2 linked regions of the Ovis aries genome follow. The protein of the gene in region 2 interacts with the protein of the main gene of each other region in a pairwise test. Links are inferred from orthologs where the notes say so. Each region holds a gene or a part of one and is shown on either strand. Other genes may lie near its edges.

Region 1 (4,401 bases), on a different chromosome or scaffold from region 2:
CTAGACAAGGTCAGAACGACTTGTTTTGGCCATAAAAGTACTGGGCACAATATGTGTGCCCAGGAAACACTGTATGATTATTAAATAAGCTAACGTACATAAATACTGTAAAAGCATGCACGCTCATTAGGTTATTTACTTGGCTCCATGGTTTACTACTGAGAACCAAAATATCGGCCCCCAAAATTTAAAGATTATGTATTTTACCACATGGTTTTAAATATACATTTTGAAAAGATTTTGAAATTTTCAAAGCCTCACTTCCGAACAACCGTATCACCCTCTGCACAGGAGGGTACACTGCTCACTCCACATTAATACCCAGCTACCTCCCCACCAGCGCCTACACTTCTGTGTGGAGCCAGACCAGTGCCTGCCCTCACTCTTGGGGCCAGCAGCACACTGCACAGGATACCAATTAGAAAAAAGCTGGCACCCAGAAAGCTGATTTCTTTCTGTGAAGCAAAAGACTGACTTTGCCATCCAACCCTGGCCTGAGAGACACTGGGCTTTCCCAAGTAAAACAAGAAACTCTGCTTTTCACAAAATACTTTCCTAAGGATACTTACGTCAGAGAGCATTGGCTCATCGAGTTCTTCCACTCTGCTCAAGTTTGGTGCCCCATATCGATCACTAATCTCAGCTAGTGTTTTGCCTGAGTCGGCTCCATCCTATAACCATATGATCATAAATGAATCTTGATCATAAATGAATCATATAATTCATTTTCACTTTCAAATGACTTTGAGATTAATACATTAATTTGCTTTCAGTTCTGCTAAGGCATTTCTGAATTATAACATCAACATTCAACATTGTCAGTTAATGGAATGAACCAATACCTGTTAGTGACAAGTGAATTCCAAAAACAAAGGCTAAAATGTGTTTTTTAAAAAATACATCATAAAATTTAAAACATATCACTGCATGTAATCATATGGTCAATAATCTCATAATATTCTGGTTTTTAAAAATACAAAAACAAACTGGATATTCCAGTTTTATCCACTTTGAGATTTGGCTTTAAAGTACACCCTATTTGTGACTTGTTATTACTAGATTATGTATTTGAACTATCAGTTTTGATAAACTCCATATTAAAACTTTGGCTACTAGGCTTCCCTGGTGGCTCAGTGTTAAGGAATTTGCCTATCGATGCAAGAGACATGGGTTCGGGAGGACCCAACATGCTGCAGGAGCTGTTAAGCCTGTGTGCCACAGCTACTGAGCCTGGGCACTGCAACCACGGAGCCCGCGTGCCCTAGAGCTTGTGCTCCACAACAAGAGAAGCCACCACAGTGAGAAGCCCGGGTACCTCAGCTGGAGAATAGCACCCACTCACTGCAATTAGAGCCTTCTGCAGCAAGAAGACCCAACACAGCCAAACACAGATAAATAAAATTGTTTTTAAAACGTATCTACTAATGCACCAAAATTTAGTGTCACAATCCAGGATACTTATTCGTATCCCATAACATAACTTTTTGTTCTCACCTCTCCATGTAAAGTATCTTCACCCTTAGCCATATTTTCCATGCTCATTCTCAACTCCTATAATATATAAAAATGGAGAAAAATACTTTGCATATGCTTTCCATTTTGATTCCATGTTTAATTTTTAAGCATTTCATTTTTACATTATGACCCATTTAAGAGCAAAAATGCTGACCTTCTTAAAGAAGAAATCTGAATACACAAGTACAGATACAGCCTCATTTAATACTCTATTAATAGGCAACTACCATATTTTGTTTATAATTAAATAAAATGTGCCCTGGTGGCTCAGATTGTAAAGCGTCTGCCTACAGTGTGGGAGAACTGGGTTTGATTCCTGGGTCAGGAAGATCCTCTGGAGAAGGAAATGGCAACCCACTCCAGTACTCTTGCCTGGAAAATCCCATGGATGGAGGAGCCTGGTAGGCTGCAGTCCATGGGGATATGAAGAGTCAGACATGACTGAGTGACTTCATCTTCACTTTTCACTTTCATGCATTGGAGAAGGAAATGGCAACCCACTCCAGTATTCTTGCCTGGAGGATCCCAGGGATGGGGGAGACTGGTGGGCTGCCATCTATGGGGTCACACAGAGTCGGATACAACTGAAGCAACTTGGCAGCAGCAGCAGCAGAATATTTTAAAAAATGAAATAGGCTGAAACACTAACCCTGAAGCCAAATTACTAACAAAAGTGAAAAGTGACAAAAATTTTAATAAACTCTTAGAATAAGAGACTTTGAAAGAACTTTCAGTTAAGTAGAATTTTATACATAGTGAAAAAGAAGCAAATATTTCTAAAGCAATTAGTCTGGCCCAAGGCGCTACCTAATACATGTGACCTCTCCACAGCACCTGGCAATGCCCTCTATAAAGCACTCTGAATACATAGGACACTGCTTTCTGAATGTGAAAACCCAGAATCTTCTAAACAAACCAAACCTTGCTGTGGCCTCTATCTTTTCATTCTAAGGCAGCAAGCTGACTTAACTGCTCTTGAGCTGATTCACTTCAGCTGTCCAAGGGTGAGTCATCTTGTGACCGTTTATATAATGGCCCTGATGATTAGGGACACATGTGGTACATGGGAGTCCTTTGGACTGCAAGGAGATCCAACTAGTCAATAAAGGAAATCAGGCCTGAATATTCATTGGAAGGACTGATGCTAAAGCTGAAACTCCAATATTCTGGCCACCTGATGCGAAGAACTGACTCATTGGAAAAGACCCTGATGCTGGGAAAGATGGGAGGTAGGAGAGGGGGGACGACAGAGGATGAGATGATTAGATGGCATCACCAACTTGATGGACATGAGTTTGAGCAAGCTCTGGTAGTTGGTGATGGACACGGAAGCCCAGCATACTGCAGTCCATGGGGTTGCAAAGAGTCAGACAAGACTGAGCAGCTGAAGTGAACTGAATGGTACATATGGGCTTCCCATGTGGCGCTAGTGGTAAAAAACCCAACCTGCCAGTGCAGGAGATGTAAGAGACATGTGTTTGATCCCTGGCGACCCACTTCGGTATTCTTGCTGGGATTATCCCATGAACAGAGGAGCCTCGCGGGCTACAGTCCATAGGGTTGCAAAGAGTCAGACACAATGGAAGCAATTTAGCACTATATGCTTTTCTCCAGATCACTCCCTTCTCCTGCACACATCTTATCCCACAACTTCGTGGTTTTGACGGAAAAATTCATGTTCTCATAGGATTCTGTTCCCCAACCAAGGGATGGATACTTGACATAAATTCATCCAGTCAGAATCCTTCCCAAGATTCTTCTCTTAACTGAAACCTAAAAGAAAGGAATCCATTCCTTTCGGATGGTCGGAGCCACAGCATTATAAGACGCAGGAAGCATTAAGGACCATGGTGACCCTCACCCATGTGCAGCGAACCAGGCCGCAGTGAGAGGCACCAGCAGAGGTGTGAGCCCTGGCAGCGCTGATTCTCTTGCCCCCAGAGGCCTGGAAGACCCAGCTCAACCAAAGCCCTTCACAGTTCAGTTGTAAAACCCTTGCTTCAACCCAGGAGCCTTCCAATACATTTCCTTTTGCAAATCATAGTTTAAGTCATGTCTCTGAAGCCACAAGAAGGCCAGGATGAAAAGACCTGGATGAATCTGCCTCCAAGCAAGGCAGTATGTTGCAGGAAAGAAAGGGGTGATAAGCCAGTAGGAATATGGATTATTAATGTCACTGCAGCTCTGGACACTCAGTCTGATAATGCCCAGAAAGTAAGCAACATGAACGGGGACCCTGTGGAGCCAATCCCTCCTGTAAATCACAGACTTTCTATATCACTCAGCTATAACTATCAGGACATCTCAATAAGACACACTTTCAATTCTTTTATCACTTTGATCACTATCTTCTTGATGTATTCTGAGTTTTCTTCTTTTACTTGCGATCACTCAGTCTTAACTGAAGCGGAAGGGTGTGTGCATTGACATGTGTGTGCATGCGTGGATATCCATGTACCCTACCCTCATTCAGACAAAGACAACATCAGCACCTCTGTTTTTAAAACTCTGTATGGGTATTTGATTTTATCCTTTTAAAATCTCATCTTTTTGACTCACAAAAGTAGTCTACCAACACTTGAACTACAACAGGACTGAATGATTTCACTTTGTAAAAACAATTCTTATTCATCTCTTATAGAATGATAAGCATTGTACATCGATGGGAAAAAAATAGTAAATTAATTAAATCTCATTTTTAAAAAAATTTATTTTACCCTTTAATTTACTTTTTTAAATTGCTTTAAACAATGATACTCTCATCTAAGCCATTAATAAATATATTCTACAAAACCTGCTTCTATTTTAAATTTTTAAAATTTTAATCATGGAATAAGTAGAGGAATAACATTTGATAACAATTGATAGTTGCAAGCATACAATATG
Region 2 (4,845 bases):
AAGTTAAGTTAAAATACACCAGTCCCAGCCTTTCATGGGACCAGAGAACTAGAATAAAGAAAAGGGACTCAGATATAATGATTTAAGGGGCCCAAGAGAATAAAGATGACTCCTGGAAAATACACACGAACAACGACTCAGAGTCAGCACTTTTCTCAGCTGGCTCTGTAGTGAACTGCCATCTCGGCCCCTGAGGGAGACGCCTCGTGGCCTCACCGACAGGCCGGGGACTCGGGCTTCGCACCCTGCTGAAGAGCTACGCGGAGTTACCAGCTTCCTTTGCTCCTCTCGGGCCGCCTTCAGGTTCCCGTGCTGCTCCCGGATTCTCCCTTCCCTCAGGTTCATGCTCAGCCTCAGCTCCTCCAGTTGTCTGGCCAGCAAGTCCTGCTCCTCCACCAGAAGCTGCCTGAGTCTCTGCCGTCGGGCCTCCAGACGCTTCCTGCCCTCCTCCTTCATCTTCTCCCGCTGGTAAGCATGCATGCTGGGCGAGAGGGGCCACCATCAGCCTGGATGCTTCCAGCTGCACAGGGGCTACATGGCTGGCTGTGTGGGTGACAGGCTGAGACACATGGAACATGGTGACCTGGGAAGGCGTCCTCCAGCCAAAGTGAACAGGCCAGGTAATAGAACCACTATGCATAATAGAATCTTGTTCTTGCAAGGAAATGTACAAGAGGCGTATCTATGCACATGGTAATATTATCTGAGTAGTTACCATGTACTACATAACCTGGATGGTTTTTATAGTAGTCATGACATAAATCCTATAAATTAGGTTCTGTTTTAGCCCCACTTCACTGATGAGGAAACTGAGGCTCATTCATACAGCAAGTGACACAGTCAGAATTGCTATCTAGGTCTGTCCGACTCCAAAGCCCATAGTCAGAATTGCTATCTAGGTCTGTGTGACTTCAAAGCCCATGCTTTTAACTTCCGTGTTTTCGTATGTATCTCTCTCTATAAAAATGGGTGTATGCTTGTATCTATATTTACACACAAAAACAGATGAAGAAGTGTACGGGAGGTTACGGACCAGACAGTTCACGGTGGTTCTCTCCTGGGGAAATGGGGCTACCGGGGGACTTCCGGATTCTACATACACGTCTCATCATCTTATCTTTTTCAGTCAAATGTGTTACTTCACTGCTGACCTTCTTTTCAGTTTCCAGTTGGAAAGACATCGCCATGCGAGTATCCACGGAAATCATCACATTTCCATGCAAGTATCCACGCCGGCCAGCCACCCTCCCCCAGGTCCTTGAGTCAGTCACATCTCCCGGCAGTAGGTGGCCCTCCAGCCCTAAGGGAAGGTGCTCACCGCACAGTTACCTCCGCTGGTAGGAGGCCCTGGAGCTCCACTCTGCCTGTTTGGAGCTGCGGATGTCGGACATCTGGAAGTAGCGGCTGTTCTGGTCCCACTGCTGCCGAAGATGCGCCTCCTGCTCCTGGCGGCGCTGTCGGGCGGCCTGCTGATCTGGGAGCCGCCGGCTGCACCAGGAGGAGGGCAGCGTGGGGAGTGCCATCTGAGGAGAACAGCAGCGCTAAGAACAGGAGCCTGCTGCAGCTCCTCACCCCTTTGAGGCCCGGTCCTCACCCTGGGCTGCACACTGGGATCTCCTGGTAGAGCCTGGGCCCCAAGGCAGACCAATTAAGTAAAAAAAAAAAAATCTCAGTGCAGGCTCCCAGGCACCAGCATTTTAAAAATGACTTGCTACCAGGACCCCAAATCATCTAGCTGAAGAAGCCTGGACTGCACCCAGCTGTGAGCCTGACATCAGTAAGGGCAGTGCAGAGACAGGGAGCCAGTGCTGACGACACTGGACTGGCACACGGAGGGTTTCTGCGCTCTGCCTAAGGTAACAGAGAGGATAACTGCAGGCATGCGGATGTGGGCCAAGCCCTTGACTTATATGACCTTTTTCATTGTTACTAGCACCCTGCTGTTTTTGGCAGCTGAGGAAACTGAAGTTCAAAGAGGTAAAATGACTTGAAGATCACAAAGCCAGGAAGCAGAGGAAATTTAAACAGGAGCTGGGAGCCTAATTCATGTTAGCCTGGGATGAGGGCCCAAGCTCTGTAGACTGCAAGATGGTACTTGTTGGGACCAACATGCCCTGGCTGTGAAGTGAAATGAAAGTCGCTTGCTGAAATCAAAGTCCTGTCCCACTCTTTGCAACCCCATGGACTGTAGCCCACGAGGCTCCTCTGTCCATAGTATTCTCCAGGCAAGGATATTGGAGTGGGTTGCTATCTCCAGGTGTCACACCTGGTAATGTTCTGGATGAGCATGGAGGGAGATCCCTCCTTCTTACAGATGGAGAAACTACCACCCAGAGGGAAGAATCAATTTGCACGGGTCAAGGGGGCGATCTGGGGACACGGGCGGAGACTCGAAAGCAGAACCAGTCTCTCCGGACATCTCCCCCCAACCACTCCCGGTCCAAAAGCTGCCCCAGGTGCAGGGTCTACACAGTGCCTGGCTGTGACAGTGCTCAAGGAGCTTCTGGCAAATAAACAAACTCAGAGTCCTCCGAACCGGGAGGAAAATGATCTGCGTCTATGAGTCAAGCTTAGCCTGAGACTGCCAGGTCAAATCTGTCTTCAGACTGTGGCAGGCCTGACAGACATTTTTCTTTGCCCCATAGGCCGCCTGCGGATAAATCTTTGCACGAGGATTGAGGAAAGTGAAGATTCCGGCCCCAGATGAACCATCAACAACAAGCTGGGAGGCTCTCTGAACAAGTCGCATCCCTCTCTCAGCCACATACAACAAAAGAGATTACAGAGGAAAGGGTCGGACCCAGGCCGCGCGGGGAGCCGAGTGAGGACTGGAAGCCGAAGCCCCGGGCGCCCCGCGATCGCGTCCCGGGACGGCGGGCGCGCTTCCCGCCAGCGCGGAGCCGACTGCGGCAGAGCTCTGAGGGTCCAGACCCCAACGCCGGCCCCCGACCGAGCCCAAACCCCCGACTCACGTTTCTCTGCGCGCCGGAGTTTCCCAAGACTGCCCCGGCCCAAGGTCCCGCAAGCCCCAAATAATCCCTGCCCGGGCCACGGCGACCCTCTCCGACAGCGCTGCACTTACGCCGGCCGTTTCCCCGCTCGTTGCCGAGGCAACGGGCCGGCGATGGAGCGCCGCGAGGGCCAAGCCTCCTGCAGCGCGATTACTCGGCGCGCAGAGCAAGAAAAGAAGTCTGTGTTTTTCTCCGATGCCCCCTCGTGGTGGGCGGGAGCTCAATCGCAGACATCGCTTGTCTAAGGAAAAGAATCCATTCACTACACCAAATTCAGGATGATGGCTACCTGAGGGAGGCAGGTGAGCGTCGGGGAAAATCAGAGGGATATAATAGGGAAGGGAATTATAAGCCAGTCACCCTCAAACCTGGCTGCACAAGAGAATCATCTGGAGAGCTCTGAAAAATCCAGATGTCCAAACCGGACTCCAGACAAACCCCATCGAGCACTCTGTGGTTGTCTAAGCCCCTCAGGTGTGTTCAAGGTGTAGCCAGCTCGAAGAACCGCTGATATAAGTAGGTTCGAGCTATTGGCAACTTTCTATTGTTTTAGGATGGTGGTGGGTTCAAGGGTGTTCCTTCTGTTAGTATGTTTTATAACTCACATGCTACGTGTATCATTCTATGTACCAACTATTCTCTTAAAAAATGAAATTAAAAGATTGGAAATTCCCCGGCAGTCCAATGGTTAAGACAGCCCACTGTCACTGCCGAGAGCCTGGGTTCAATCCCTGATTGGGGAGCTAAGATCCCACAAGCTCTGCAGTGTGACAAAAATAAATGAAAAGCAAAAGTATTAACTCTTTTATTCAGGCTCTTTTCATTTTCCCATTTTTGTCTTCATTTATTCTTTCCTTCACCCTTTCCTCCTTTTTTTATTTAAATTTTATTTATTTAGCTGCCTGGGGTCTTAGTCGCGGGCACTCCCATCTTCTAGTTGTAGCTTGTAGGGTTAGGTGCTCTGCCACATGTGGGAACCTAGTTCCCCAACCAGGGATCAAACTTGGGTCCTCTACATTGCAAGCTGGACTCTTAACCACCAGACCACCAGGGAAGGCCCGCCCGCCCGCTTCCTTCTTTTATTCAATTCTCTGTTTTCCCTGGATGCAGTATAAAGTCTGGTTGAACAGAGTGACCTCTGTTGCAGCCTCCACCACAACAGTCGTGTGGTCTGGACAGGTCACTTCGTCACTCTGAGCCTCCGTGTCCTCATCCGTGAAATAAGAATGTTCAAGTAATTGAAAAAGGAGCCCATTAGACTGGGAAGGCTGTGACACCTCCGTAGCCGATGCAGGTCAACCTAAACCTAGGCCAGAGCCAAAGCACCCAAATTGGAGAAAATGAAATTTAGCACTCACAAACAGCCAACTGGGCTTTCCCAAACAAGGCAACCTCTTAAGTTACAGCCAATCAAACGATTTCCTTGCTTTCACATCTTCTTTCTAAAAACCTCTCCTAGATCCTGCCGGTAGAGTGTTCTGAACACCTTTCTTTTGCCTGATTCCGATCAGCAAGTCTTGAAAGTTTTACTGTGCCTCAGATTAGCTTTAAATAAGAATACCGACAGGGCTGCTTTCTACAGTTGCCCTCATGAGAGGAAATGAAAGTTTAAATGGAGCGGCCTCGGGAGCAGAGCACCTGGTGCATCTCAGGAGAGCATGCGCTCGCATACCTCCCCCCCTTTTTTTTCTAGTTTTTTGGCAGCATGCAGGACATGCAGGATCTGAGTTCCCTGACAAGGGATTGCACTGCCCCCCTCTGTAGTGGAAGCACAGAGTCTTTACCACTGGACCACCAGGGAAGTCCCTCTCACATCTCCCTCAGAACCTGCCCT

Evidence for each region.
Region 1: the proteins of TCHP (region 2) and DYDC1 interact in binary tests that used the Homo sapiens proteins (3 or more experiments, as listed by UniProt). The two-hybrid records come from large-scale screens. The link is inferred for Ovis aries from reciprocal best matches to the Homo sapiens genes TCHP and DYDC1.

Annotation. Positions count from the first base shown.
Region 1 is NC_056078.1:34,775,937-34,780,337, forward strand, and holds part of DYDC1 (DPY30 domain-containing protein 1), read right to left. Parts: intron 1,552-4,401; coding exon 1,495-1,551; intron 672-1,494; coding exon 570-671; intron 1-569. UniProt on the Homo sapiens protein: Functions as part of axonemal radial spoke complexes that play an important part in the motility of sperm and cilia. Plays a crucial role during acrosome biogenesis.
Region 2 is NC_056070.1:63,503,830-63,508,674, forward strand, and holds the start of TCHP (trichoplein keratin filament-binding protein), read right to left. Parts: upstream 3,086-4,845; 5' UTR 2,973-3,085; intron 1,524-2,972; coding exon 1,330-1,523; exon of another isoform or gene 1,319-1,329; intron 482-1,318; coding exon 271-481; intron 1-270. UniProt on the Homo sapiens protein: Tumor suppressor which has the ability to inhibit cell growth and be pro-apoptotic during cell stress. Inhibits cell growth in bladder and prostate cancer cells by a down-regulation of HSPB1 by inhibiting its phosphorylation.